Linked DNA regions of Rattus norvegicus. The protein of the gene in region 2 interacts with the protein of the main gene of each other region in a biochemical or structural test. Links are inferred from orthologs where the notes say so. Each region holds a gene or a part of one and is shown on either strand. Other genes may lie near its edges.

What was found.
Region 1: of the proteins of Chek1 (region 2) and Cdc25a, one has a biochemical effect on the other in vitro, tested with the Homo sapiens proteins (7 studies listed by BioGRID and IntAct, with this or other methods). The link is inferred for Rattus norvegicus from reciprocal best matches to the Homo sapiens genes CHEK1 and CDC25A.
Region 3: the proteins of Chek1 (region 2) and Mcm6 form a complex in vitro, tested with the Homo sapiens proteins (2 studies listed by BioGRID, with this or other methods). The link is inferred for Rattus norvegicus from reciprocal best matches to the Homo sapiens genes CHEK1 and MCM6.

Annotation. Positions count from the first base shown.
Region 1 is NC_086026.1:118,748,979-118,753,706, forward strand, and holds part of Cdc25a (M-phase inducer phosphatase 1), read left to right. Parts: coding exon 1-116; intron 117-1,708; coding exon 1,709-1,843; intron 1,844-2,387; coding exon 2,388-2,462; intron 2,463-2,614; coding exon 2,615-2,788; intron 2,789-4,728. UniProt on the Homo sapiens protein: Tyrosine protein phosphatase which functions as a dosage-dependent inducer of mitotic progression. Directly dephosphorylates CDK1 and stimulates its kinase activity. Also dephosphorylates CDK2 in complex with cyclin-E, in vitro.
Region 2 is NC_086026.1:44,612,236-44,616,963, forward strand, and holds part of Chek1 (serine/threonine-protein kinase Chk1), read right to left. Parts: intron 3,852-4,728; coding exon 3,756-3,851; intron 3,363-3,755; coding exon of another isoform or gene 3,346-3,362; exon of another isoform or gene 3,166-3,345; intron 3,120-3,165; coding exon of another isoform or gene 3,109-3,119; exon of another isoform or gene 3,019-3,108; intron 2,440-3,018; coding exon 2,331-2,439; intron 1,763-2,330; coding exon 1,585-1,762; intron 1,369-1,584; coding exon 1,237-1,368; intron 125-1,236; coding exon 23-124; intron 1-22. UniProt on the Homo sapiens protein: Serine/threonine-protein kinase which is required for checkpoint-mediated cell cycle arrest and activation of DNA repair in response to the presence of DNA damage or unreplicated DNA.
Region 3 is NC_086031.1:42,393,694-42,398,421, forward strand, and holds part of Mcm6 (DNA replication licensing factor MCM6), read right to left. Parts: intron 4,424-4,728; coding exon 4,313-4,423; intron 2,333-4,312; coding exon 2,083-2,332; intron 543-2,082; coding exon 377-542; intron 136-376; coding exon 1-135. UniProt on the Homo sapiens protein: Acts as a component of the MCM2-7 complex (MCM complex) which is the replicative helicase essential for 'once per cell cycle' DNA replication initiation and elongation in eukaryotic cells.

The sequences.
Region 1 (4,728 bases), about 74 Mb from region 2:
CATTTGAATTTAAAAAGCCAATAAGACCTGCATCTCGTGGCTGCCTGAATGCTCACGTTCACGAGGAAAGTAAGGACCCCTTTACACACAGGCAGAATTCAGCCCCAGCTCGGATGGTACGTGTTTTGGCTTTTCCACTGGGAGTTCATCATGGGAAGAGAATTTACAACATGTGTGTGTTGTATGAGCATGAAACTTATTCATGCTGAGTCTATGGTATATGCCTACAACCCAAGCATTTGGAAGATAGAGGGAGGAGGACCAGGAGTTCAGGTTATGCTCAGCTCTGCCATGATTTAAGGCCATCCTGGGCTACATGAAATCCTGTTCCAAAAACAAAAAAACAAGTTTACTGTTATTACTTGGTGGCTCATGTCTGTAAAACGTTTGGGAGGCCTGTGAATTAGCTGGGGTTATTTGGCAGGTTAGAAAGTTGCATTAGAGAAGTTGATGATGCATTTGTCAAAGGACATGTAAAAGCAGGCTGGAATTTAACTATAGGTTGCTCAGTACATGATAACAGTTTGAAATATATATATATGAAACAATATTTTTGGTAGATATTTGGGGATCAGAATGCTAAGATTTTCTGTAACTGCTTGATCATTAAAGCACCTCTAACTATAGGTGCCGAGGGTGCAGACTTTAAAAGCCTGTGGCTTATCTTACTGGTTTGGCTTTTGTTTGGATTGGGTGTTCTGTTACTTGCTTTTTTGAGACAGGATCTCTTAGATATCTCTAAGCTAGCCTCAGATTTGCTATGTAGTCAAAGCTAGTCTTGAACTCCTAACGCTCCTGCCTCTAGAATCACAGGTGTTTGCCACTTCACCACATTGGTTTCCAAGGTAGGGTGTGAGTTGATGAGGCGTATGACAAAAGCAAAGGATTGTTTGGCTGTGTTGACACATGTACTCCCAGCTACGACTGCAGCTGAGATAGGATGGACACCAGGGGCACTTAGTCTCAGGGAAGAAAGAGGCTGACTACCAGAAGTGTGTGCTGTGGCTTAAATGGGATTACAGTTGTAAAGATTTTGTTGTAATGTCCAGGACATCACAATCCCTCATTTTAAAACTGGACAGCTTTCATTTTAGTTTAAATCACGTTTATTTTTAATTTGGTGGAGCAGGGCAGTATGTGCAGCTGTGGGCTGTCTGAGACAGATACTGGAAATTAAATTAAAAACTTCTCCAAGAACAGTACTTGCTCTTACCCACGGAGCTATCTTTCCGAGCCCAACTTCCATTGTAATCCTAATGAGGAGCTAGGTTAGAAGTCAAGCTTGGTAGTGTGCACCTGTGATCTCAACATTTGGGAAGTGGGAGAAACGTTTACAGGTTTTAGCTCACCCCTGACTGCCCTGTGTCCTGAACTAATAGAGGAGTAGGGTCGAGTTTAGAATGAAATTCCCTTGTTCCCATTGTCTGCATTACATAGGCATTCCTGAACTCCCTCTGTCTGCTATTTTGTGATCTCCATGACGCTTGTATTTTCAACAGGTTTAGATGCTCACGGCCTTCATGTGGTACAGCACATGGCTTTAGTTTTCCCTGTAAGACGAGCTCAGGAGCCAGGGAGTCCAGTGCCCTCCTCTGACCACTCAGGCTGCCAGGTTCACACACAGTGCACTGCCCACTCTCCTTTTTCCTTTAAGCAGTCCACCTAAGCATTCAAAGTGGTCTGGACTTCTTGCTATTTTGTCTTTCAGCTGTCTTCAAATGAAAGTGACATTAGTGAATCAGGAAATTTCAGTCCTCTTTTTACACCCCAGTCACCTGTGAAAGCCACTTTGTCTGATGAGGATGATGGCTTCATAGACCTTCTGGATGGAGAGAATCTGAAGGTACCATCTGTGGGTGGGTGTGCCTATTCATTCTAACCACCCTGCAGGAGCCTGGCTGACTGAATGATTGTTCATTTTTGTGAGAGTTCATTGACTCTTCTGCTTGACTAAAGCAGGGTGGGTGGGTCAGATAATACTGGTAAGATCTTCCCTCTTACCCTGAGGGACACTAACCAGTCTTAGGAATAGGGAAGGAGGAGTGTATTGAGATACTTCTGGAACTAAGATACAGCTTAGTGGTAAAGCCTGTGCTTCAGCTGTACAAGGCCTTAGGCTCAATCAATCCCTCGTACCAAAAAAAAAGCCTGCCCTGGTGTTACATGCCAGTAATCTCAACATTCAGGATGCTGAACAGAAGAAGGATCAACATATAAGCCCCAAGTTCAAGGCCAGCCAGCCAGTGCTTCACAGCCTCCAACAACAAAACAAACTTACCTAGACTTACCTGGCATTTCTTAGGAGAGTTAGTCTGCTGGATCTTTTTCTTCTTCCCATCCCCTCTCCTCTGCTGGATCTATTTAAAAGCAGTTTTCTCTTCGTCTAGAATGATGAGGAGACCCCGTCGTGCATGTCAAGCCTCTGGACCGCTCCCCTTGTCATGAGAAGACCTACAAACCTTGTAAGTTACTTGGCATGTGGAGTTCTGAGGAGCTGAGTCCTTAATTGACTATGTTGACTGAGACAACATAGAGCTTAGGCCCGGGTTTTAGGCTTACTGCTGTTCAAGTGACTAGATTTTAATCCAAGGTGGTCTGTCTCTTTCACCCTAAGGCCGATCGATGTGGACTGTTTGACTCCCCTTCCCCGTGCAGCTCCACCAGCAGCTGCAGCACTCGGGCAGTGAAGAGAGCAGACCGATCTCATGAGGAGTCTCCTCGAGGTACAAAGCGGAGGAAGAGCAGTGAGGCCAGTCCAGTGAAGGCAGATGTTCCGGAGCCAACGCAGGTTAGTTAGGTTCTCCCATGATCTAGAGTGATCACAGTCTTTGAGCGCTAAACATTTCCACTTGTTCGTCCTGTCCTTGCCAGGTCTTACTACCATTTTGTTTTGTTTTGTTATTTTCTGAACAGGGTTTCTCAGTATAACTCTGGCTGCCCTGGCACTCACTCTGTAGCCCAGGCTGTCCTTGAAATCCGACTGGGATTAAAGGAGTGCACCACCACTGCCTAGCAAGGCACACTACTTCAATTTGCTTCTGTTCTGTTTGTTTTTATTTAGGGGATTGTGTCATTTGTAATTAGGTTTTTATTTTGCTTTGGCTTTTGAGGCAGTGTCTTGTTTCAGGATGGCCCGGAACTTGTAATCCTCCTGTCTCTGCCCTGGTGCTTGGATTACAGGTGCGCACCACCGTACTACATTCTTTGGGTGCCTGTTCAATCTTTTTGTCTGTCTTATTAAAGAACTCAGGCATTGTCATATATCTGGAGGTTCCCACTGATCTATAGAGTCCAATACTGTTTTTGTCCCCTAGATGATCTCATAGGAGTAGCAGTGCTATGTCATAGGCCAGGCGCTGGGTTTAGTCTTGCAGTTACTGCCAAATAGTTTTCAGAGTCACCACCTCAACAGCAGTGTATGAGGTGCATTCCTTCTGTTTCCAAGTAATATTTGGTAAAGTCCTGATCATTTTAGGTGTTTGTATTAGTTTCTTTGCAATTGCTGTGATAAAACACCATAACTAAGGCAAGTTACAGAAAGGGGTTTGTTTTGGGCTTACGGTTACCATCACTGAGGGGAAGCATGACAGCAAGGCATGGGAGCAGAAAAAGAGTGAATGGGGGTGACATTAGGATTTTTGAAACCTTAGCCCCAAGACTGGACTCAAACTTAAAACACAAAAAAGGGAAAAAGAAACCCAGCGGCAACCTCCTCTAGCCACACCACTTCTCCTAAGTCACCCAAGCGATGACATCAATTGGGACCAGATATTAATGCTCCAACTATGGGTACATCCAATTAAACCACCATAGAATTCTTGTGGTCATTGGTACCTGGATTTGGGGGAGTTCACTCTTCTGTTGCTGTGAGTGTGATTGTTTTGTCTGCATGTATGTCTGGGTACAGTGTGCATGCCTGGTGTCCGTCCACAGAGGTCAGAAGGCATTGGATCCCCTAGAACTGCAACTACCAATAGTGTAACACCACGTGGTGCTGGAAACCACAAAGTGTCCTTCACTGTTGAGCCATCTCTCCAGCCCCTGTTATGTGGGGGGTGGGGGGGGTGGTTGTTTAGGGTGCAGGGTTTGTGTTGTTGTGGAAGACGCGTTTATTTGGTGCTGAGGATTGAACCTAGGGCTTTGTGCTTATTACTCAAATTTGTGGTCCACCTCTATTCTATCTTACTTTCCTATGCCATTTATTTAGTCAGGTTGGGGTGTAAATACCACAGTGTGTGTGGAGGTCAGAGTACAACTTGGAGACAGTTGTCTTTGCAGAGTTCTTGCTTGTCATGAACTTTTCTTCTGCCTCTACCTCTCTTGTGCTAGAATCACAAACAATGCCCAGGTTTTTGTTTTTGTTTGAAATTTTGTTTTATTTGTGTGTATGTGTACATGTTTGTGCCATGGTACACAAGAACCTGTCTATAAAATAGAATGGCTCCAGCTTCTTTATTGCTAAACAAAGGACAGGTCTGTCTGCCTCTGCCTCGAGTGCTGGGATTTAAAGCTGTGTATCACCACCACCTGGCACTTCTTTTTAAAATTTCCTATTTAAGGGGAAAAAACCACGGCAAGAGTGCTGTCTGGGTTTCTACTCTAACCTGACTGGCTGGGCTTGGGGAAAATCCTAATGTGCCCACCCGTCTCTTAAATACTATTGTGGTATAAGTCCTGTGCGTGCTTTGGAATACGTGATGGTCAGAGGACAACTTTCCAGCCTTGGTT
Region 2 (4,728 bases):
AATAAAATATATGAAAAAATACCTTAGAAAGCCGGAAGTCAACCAGTATCTTCTCATCCATTTCTACCAAATTTATTTTGAAAATCAACTTATTGTTTCTTCTATCCATTGTTGATACAGTAACCTAAGGCAATAAAAATAAGGTCAAGCCACATACACACGTGAATAGAAAATACTCTTAACAGTTCTTGTTCAACGGGAGTGTCATGGAGAACACTATACATTTCAAGACTAGAGAGACGGCTCAGGTTAAAAGTACTTGCCCCTCACTCTTCCAGAGGACCCTGGGTCCACTCCTGGCATCCATGCCAGGGGGCTCTCAGCCACCTATGATTCTAGCTCCAAAGGATCTGATGCCTCCACAGACACTAACATACGCATGTACCCTGACACACCGTTTATGCATAAGTGTAAAATTAAAAATCAAAAAAAATCTTACCAAAAAAAAAGAAAGAAAGAAAGAAAGAAAGAAAGAAAGAAAGAAAGAATGCTCTCTCTCTCTTTCCAATCTAAACCAAGCTGTAAGTTAGAACTTTAGTCTAAGTGAACTTGTGGTAAAAAAGAAGGCATTCTAGCAAAGCAGAATTGAAAGAAAAGACAAATAAAAATAATAGGAATAGAATGAAGACTGGAGGTGTAGCTTAGTGGTAAAGCACTTGCCCAGCATACACAATGCCTGAGTTCAATCCCCCAATACTGTAGCCAACCAATCAGTCAAATATATGAGAGAGAAAACAAGGTTATTACAGTACAAGAAGAGCCGGGGGTGGTGGCACACACCTTCTCCGTGAGTTCCAAGTTAGCCTGCTCTACAGAATGAGTTCCAGAACAGCCAGGGCTGTGTTTGTGTTTCAAACAAATACAAAAACTAATGAAAAAACAATACAAGAAAGAAAAGAGACGCTATTTAAGGCTGAAAAGCTGGAACAACAATGTGACAGTGATAGTGAGGGTAAGGAGCTTGGGTGAGATGACTGATGGCAGTCAAGAGCCAGCACCAAGACCCCAAACATGGAGGTGAGGACATCTCCAAGTGCAGCTTAATATAACATTACTAACTTCAGAGGTTTTTGAAAACACAAAACAAACAAACGCAAAAAAATCTTAAAACTTGCAATTGTTTCTTTTTCAAATTAATTACTTTTATTTTTAGAACGTTCACTGATCACTGATAACTTTTACTCAAATATTTAATTTTCTATAGGAAAAGAAATAATGAAAACTAACAAAACATACCTGATTCATACAACTCTTCTTCCACTGATAGCCCAACTTCTCAAAGGTCTCTTTCAGGCATTGGTAAGATTTGTCTGCATCCAATTTAGTGAAGAATCGTGTCATCCTTTTGACCAAGCGCTGCCAGGGGTTCTGCACATCAAAGAAGAAAGCTGAATAAATCCAGTGTGACCAGTTTACAGCAATTAGTCTGATCTTAAGTTTCTTTCCCATAATGGCCTCCTCTAATTATTTCTTACTTTTCCAAATAATATGTATCAACTAAAAGTATTAATGCCATATACCTAAGATTTAAGACCACAAAAATAAAAAGCAACAGTTATTTATCTGAAAGTTGAAATTCCTCACCTGTGAAGATCCAGGGGTACCAAGTAGCTGACTGTTTACAAGCATATGATCAGGACACGTAGGCTGGGAAAAACTGATGCCTTGCACCAGTTTGTCCACATTTGAGGGGCCAGTGTCCCACAAGGAAAGCCCTGTCCGAGGCTCTGGCTGGGAACTAGAGAACTTCACGTTTTCTTCACTGAGAGATTAAGAGAAAAGAAAAGTATGACTTCAATTCTCTGTTTTTAAGGCGGCTTCATTCTTTTTAATTATTCATTTTGTGTTGTTTGTTTGTTTGTTTGTTTGTTTGTTTGTTTGTTTGAGACAATACTGTGTCATGTTGCCTAGATTGGCCTGGCCTGGCACTGTCTATCCTCCTGCCTCAGCCTTCCAATTAACAGTTACCTGGGACTGTAAGTGTGTATAGTACAGAGTCAGACTAAAATTGTCTTTAAATAAAACCCACCAGGATTTTTTTATATGGCACAATCATTCTCATTTTGGTAAAATTACAGGCATTATTAAGTAAAATATATACTTCTTTTTTATGGGGGATAATTACATTTAAGAAACAAACTTAATCTGCTAATCCATGGTAGTGCAAACTTGTAATCACAACACTCAGGAGGCAGACACAGGAGGTTCCATACAAATTTAAGACTAGGGTGGGCTACCCAGTTCCAGTTCAGCCAAGGTTACTTAGTAAAACACTATCTCAAAAGAAAAAAAAAAAGGAAAAAAAGAAAAAATAAAATTTTATGTCTTACCTGGAACCACTATTTATTGGAGAAAAGTCCAAATTGGAATGAATGTGCTTAGAGAATCCACTAGAAGACTCTGACATACCACCTGAAGTAGCACGTGGCCTCTTCGCTCCTGAAAAAAGGAACAAATGCAAATCCTCTATTCAAGTATTTAATCCAACTAGCATTTTGAATAAATAAAGCCACATCTAAATCCATTTACTGAATACAAAGCAATATAAAATAAACAATTTTTTCTTAAACAACTTTATGTTTAAACAAAGAAATGTTACCCTAGTGCTTCACTAAGGCCACAAGTTTAATGCCATCTTTTATGAGTAAACATGATGTTCAACAAAAGAGTAGCTCATAACTAGAACTTTTAAAATTTTTAAATAACTCAGTAAAGAACGACAATCAATAAAAATAAGACCCTCAGCTAGACTACTACAGTCCATGCTACTTGTCTCCTCACACTTCCTAAGAATTCTCAAAACTTCTACTCTCTTCTGAGATTAGCAATACCGCCCACCATTCCATCATTCTTAGCATAATATGCTATCCTACTTTTAGAATAATGCTAACAGACATAAAATAGCACAGTATGTCACTACCACCACATACACACACACACACACACACACACACACACACACACACACACACACACACACACAAAGTGCCCTCAGAAGCCAAAGGGTACCTGAGTTAGAAATGTTTGTGGGCCTCCTTGTGGGTGCTGGGAATCAGACCCAGGTCCTCTAACTGCTGAACCACGCCTCCAGCACCAACCTCCCAAACCTTAACACTCTACTGAGTAAAAACAAAGTTCAGTTCAGTAAGGTGATGCTGATTCTCTAACTGCTTACTACCTTACTTACAATGAAGTGAAATAATGCAAACAAACAAACTGGGAAAGGTGCGTACAGTTTGAAAGTTTTCTGCTTGCCAGTGCCCAAGGAAGGTGAGAGAGTAACACATGTAAAGAAGACTCAGACAGGGAAGGAAGGTATTGCTAGACACAAGGAATAAGTTCTCATCATCCAAAACGAAAGTCTATGGAAGAAGTGCGAAAGAGAAAAAAAATTGTTAATTCAGTTTGGGACAAATCATGCTTGATTGAAATGTAGTACATCAACAGATAGTCCTAAGAGAGGGACTGCAGAGATGTCTCAGGGGTTAAGAGCACTTTTTGTTCTTGCAAAGGACCCAGGCTCGGTTCCCAGTAGTCACATCACAACTCACAACATCTGTACCTCCTGTTCCAGGGGATCCAGTGCCCTCTTCTGCCTTCAAGGACCCCCAGGCACACATGTGTAGTGTGTACACACACACAGACACACACACACACACACACACACACACACTCTCTCTGCCCCTCCCCCTCCCCTGCAGAGTTTGTGGTATTTTATAAGTATCTATGTTTCACAAAAGAAACCTCTTTTTTACCTCTGTTAAGTGGTTTGTTGTACCATCTATCTTTTTTAATGTCTGGGATGGTGATCCTTGCTGATGGATTCTCAACTAGAATTTTATGAAGCAAAGCTGAAAAGAAAACAAGACAGTATTTGTAAAAGAGGTACACAGATTAGACAAACTTTCAAAGACACAAAAGCCAGAAACATGATATACACCTACAGCCTCAATAGTTGAGAAGCACAGGCAGGATGCTTGAGGCCAGCTTGGGAAATATATACATTAGTTTAAAAAAAGAATTCATACAATTTCCAACATCCCAACATCAAAAATGTAAGCCAGGGGACTGGTGAGATGGCTCAACAGTTATCCAGCAACCATAAGGTAGGTAACTCACAACCATCTATAAAGGGATCTGATGCCCTCTTCTGGCACGTAGGTGTACATGCAGAAGAGCACTCCTACATTTAAAAAAAAATACATATATAAATCAATTATTTTAAACCAAGAATAAAAAAGTGACCAGCTTGTAGTCCCATCATTCAGAAGGCTGAGAGGATGCCACAGTCAGGTCCAGCCTGAGATTCAAGACAGCATGGGCTAACACAGACCTTGTCTCCCAGAATAAACAAGCCATCTGAACACCAGCATCTGAAGGTGGAGACTGAAGGTAAAGATCATCCTCTACTACACAGCTGAGCGCAGGGTTCAGCTTGGGCTAAACAAGACCATTTCAAAATCAAAGCCAAAAGCAATCAAACACAAAAATTAAACCACACAAACAGCAAATGAGAACACAAAGAATTTTACAAAGAAAAAAAAATCAGAATAGAAAACACCTTTCTCAGCATGACAATATAAGTCAAAATCACAAGTGACAAGAATTTAGGTATGAAAACTTTAAAACATCTGCACATTAAAACATCCGGCAAAACTAAAATGAATAATAAACTCTAGGAAGTACTGTAACAAATGTTACATACATTAATGCATTTTTTGAAAAACC
Region 3 (4,728 bases), on a different chromosome or scaffold from region 2:
TTGGTGCAACATAGCAGGCAAGGAAGACCAGCCTGTATGACAGGTCTCTGACACCCAGGGCTCGGAGCCCTCGGATGCCTTCTGTCTCATACCCGTCAGCGCCACTGACTCGGGAGTTGGTCTCCGCACGTGCTCCTGTAAGAGCGAAAGACAGGTGTCTCACAGCTCAAATACTAATGGTGCTCATAAGAATAACGTGCTTGAATAAGCCAAAGCTGAAACGCCATCCTTCATAGAAAAAGTCTATTTTTCACTCTCTTCATACTTAACTGTGCTCATCCCGATCGGTACGTTACAAAGAAGATTCTAGAAGCCAGATATCCTGAGAGTAGGTGACTGATCAGGACTGGTTACATCCAAGCAACAAATTACTGACCTGGTGTGCTAAGCTTGGAGACGTCCGGCACAACAATCAGCGTCCCCGTGAAGTCACACCTGTCACCAGCCTGGGCTGACTCCACGGCTTCGGCCCTCAGGACAACCTCCAAACTCCGGGGGATGCTTCCCCGGGGAAGCTCCGCTTGAGTCTCTTGAATACGAACCTACAACCAAGACCAACAGCAAAGGAGAGATGCTTTCACACGCTACACACCTGAAATCAAATGCTACAAACACCCACCTAACCCAGCCTCCTTGCACACCTTGTTCTGTGTGTGTGTGTGCAGGTGGTCACACCTGTCTCAGGTGTCACTCCTCGGGCACCGCCCACCTTCTCTCTTACGACCGGGCCTCTTACTGGCCTAGAACTCACCAATTTGGCCAGGCTGGTTGACCACCTAACTTTTAGGGATCTGGCTGCCTCTTCCTCCCCTGCACAGTACACGCCACCACACTTAGCTCTTTCTGTAGTACTAGGGATCAAATATAGGTCTCCATGCTTGTTGACAAACTGCCCTATAGACTTGTGACACATACCAATATTCACCTAAAGTTTGTACTGGGGGCTTGAAAGACGTTTCAGCTATTAGGAGAACTGGCTGCTTTTCCAGAGGACTTGGGTTTAATCCCAGTACCCACATGGAGGGTTCACAACCACCACCAACTGCAGCCCCAGAGGCTCCAATGTCCTCTTCTGGCCTCTGTAGGCACGGCATGCATATGGTTCTTAGATATACATATAAGCATAACACCCATATACCTAAAAATACATAAAAATTTTGTGCCCTAAAACTTTTACTCAAATACTTCACCTGGCTAAGCAATTTATCTCTTGGCTCTGGAGAGATAGCTGGGTAATTAATTAAGAGCTTGGTCTGCTTTGCAAATGTTGCACCACATGTGGGCAACACACATAATAAACTTTTGTGCCCTTTTAGTCAAATGGCTCAAGAGATGAATCTACTGGGACTGAAGAGGTGGTTCAGTGGTTAAGGACCAGAATTTGGTTGCTAGCATCCACGTGGAGGCTCACAACCACCTATGTCCTGGTTAGTTTTTATCATCTTAACATAAGCCTGGGAAGAGGGACCTCGGTCATGCTGGCTTGTGGGCAGGCATGTGGGGGTATTTTCTTGATTAATGACTGGTGTGGGAAGGTCCAGACCACAGTGGTTTGGACCACTCCCAAGTAAGTGGTCCTGGGTTGTAGAACAGGTTGAGCAAGCCTTGGATTACTGTAAGCAGCATTCCTCCATGGCAGTGGTTCTCAACCTTCCTAGAGCCCCAACCCTTTAACATAGTGTTCATCATGTAGTAACCCCTAACCATAGGGGTCGAGACCCACAGGCTGAGAACTACTGCTCTATGGCGTCTACTTTGGTCCCTACCTCCCAAGTCCTATCTTGACTCCCTTCCTTCAATGACAGACTGTAACTTAAGATGAAGTAAACCCGAACACCGCACCCCACAACCCCCTATTGCTTTTGGTCAAGTTTATCACACAACAGAACTTAACTAGGACAATCTGTACCAGAGGACCCGATACCTTCTTCTGGTCTCTGTGGGCACTACATTCCCACAGAGACTGACATAATATGTCATTACGAGGGCCAAAAATGAATTATTAGCATTATTAGCTTTAAATCTAATCTGTCTAATAAATACATTTACATATAAGAATGTAATCTAAGCAGAAGTAAGTACCTTTTGAAAATCAACGAATCTCGATTTATTGGTGTCTAGAAGGAACCTCTTCCTGTTGGCGCATACTGGATTGCGGCAGATGCTCGGCTGTGTGTATTTGAACTGCTGCTCTACGTCCTTGATCACTGTTTGGCAGTCGAGGCACAGGAAAGTCCCACTCACAAGCTCGGGGTGCACTGGGTGAGTGCGCACCACCTGCCCACTGATGCGAGTGAGTAGCCCGATCCTGGAGGAAGTGAGCTCACGAATCCTATGTGAAGAAAGAGTCACATTAGCAGACACCTTTCTGTCCTCTTCCCCACTTCAGTTCCAGGGACTGAACCTAAAACCTCACACCACTTCCGCCTGTTAAGAAAATCTTCTAAGTTTTTGTCTCATGTGTGAGCATGTCTCTGCGGGTGTGCACGTGTGAGGGCGGGCACCAGACACCAAGTCATCCTGGATCTGGAGCAGCAAACGGTCGTGAGCCTCCCGACACTATGCTGGGAACTAAACTCAGGTCCTTTGCAAGGAACACTTCACTCTTAGTAGCTGAGTTACCGCTGTAGTCCATAACTTCTTTTAAACTGTGTAACACAAATTCACAACTAAAAATAAAAGTGAGCTGGGCAGTGAGCTGGCAGTGGTGGCGCACACCTTTAGTTTCAGCACTTGGGGCAGAGGCAGGCGGACATGACTTTGAGCCCAGTCTGTCTACAGAGCAAGTTCTAGGACAACCAGGGTTGAACAGAAAAAGTGGCAAAAAGCTACAATAAGTAAATAAAAACAAATAAGAAATGACTGAAGAAATAAATTGGGTGGGTGCCATGACATGCATCTAAAATCAGTGTGCTGTTGAAGGGGCAGATCTTGGGTGCTCACTGGCCAGACAGCCTAGCCGGAGGACCTCAGACTCGGAAAAACACTGTTTCAGGATTGGAGAACTTATGGCTAAGAGTATTTGCAGCTCTTCCAGAGGATCTGAGTTCCTATGTCACAACAGGAAGGAAAGTCACCCCAGGAAATCCAGCACCCTTTTCTGGTCTCCTGGTCTCTTTGGGTAGTGTACACACTTGTGTTTCTCTCTCTCTCTCTCTCTCTCTCTCTCTCTCTCTCTCTCACACACACACACACACACACACACACACACACACACACACACACACACACACACACACCACAAATAAATATTTCAAATGATTTTCTTCAAGTTAAGAAGATGTTTCAAGGGGTTGGGGATTTAGCTCAGCGGTAGAGCACTTGCCTGTCAAGCGCAAGGCCTTGGGTTCGGTCCCCAGCTCCGAAAAAAAGAAAAAAGAAAAAAAAAAAAAAAAAGATGTTTCAAAGTTATGCATTTAAGTTGGGGGGAATGGGGGCATGGTGATATATGCCTTCTTTTTAAAAATTACTTATTTTTATTATGTGCATTGGTGTTTTGCCTGTGTGTACATCTGTTTGTGAGAGGGTATTAGATGCCCTGAAATTGGAGTTATAGAGTTGAGTTGCCATGGGTGCTGGGAATTGAACCTGGTCCTCTGGAAGAGCAGCCAGTGCTCTTAACCACTGAACATCTCTCCCAATCCTAGTGGTGCATGACTCAATCTCAACACTTAGGATGGCAGAAGCACCTAATTTCTATAAAAGGTGATTTCTGTGAGTTCAAGGCTAGCCAGGTCTACATACTGTGAGTCCATATTCATTAAAGTCCTAAAATTCATTAAGTTTTTACTCTTGAAATTTATTCTTTTTTTTTTTGAGACAGCATATCACTACATATTTCTGGCTGACCTGAAATCATTATTTAGACCAGCTGGCCTCAGTTCTCACATTTTTTCCCTTGGCAAATCTTGTCCTGATTTCCCTAAAAGGTGCTTTAAGAATAACAACACCAAGTACCTGCTTCAACTCATATTGCCTCTCCTAGCTCCAAGGAAAAACAAGTTTCTCCAAACTAAACTTCCTGAGTTTGAATACTTCAAAAACGTCAGTGTGACCTCGGCATCTGGGGACTGGGAATCTGAAGCCAGCACAAGCTACCCAAGAAGGCCTTATTTTCAAAAGACACAGCAAACAAGAGGAACTGTCACAGTATCAGTGCTCTATGATAGGTGAGGACTCTGAGACCCAGCCAACGGAGGCTGATTTGTGCACCACACTGGCTTGAGCGGCACACCTCAGGTGTTATAAATGCCCAGAGTAAGTGGTATCTGATACAATGGGTCCTTTCACCCCCTAAAGGTTCCTTCCTTACTTGTGTCTAGTGGGTAGGTCTTGGAACGCAACATAAAAATCCTTAGCAAAAGGGATCTCCTTTCGGTCTTTGACAAAGGTCTTCAAGGCTCGACACAGGTAAGGGTAGACTCTGAAAAGCAAGCAGAACCAGTGACAGATTAGTCTTACTAAATCTGTCTTCTTTTTCATGTTTGTCAACTTTGAGAGCACAGCATTTCATCTGGTCACAGTCAAGCTTTAAAACTTAACTGCATGATGGTTTTATCAACCACCTCTATCCCAGCACACATAGAAACTCCAAACACAAAGTGTTATACTTGTTGCTTGAATCATTTAGTACTCAAACCACAGGCAACTTTCCTGTCCAAGGTAATTTAAACCTTGTCAGCACTGTGTTCAGTATTGTTAGTTTTCTCTGGATAGTTTACAAACTAG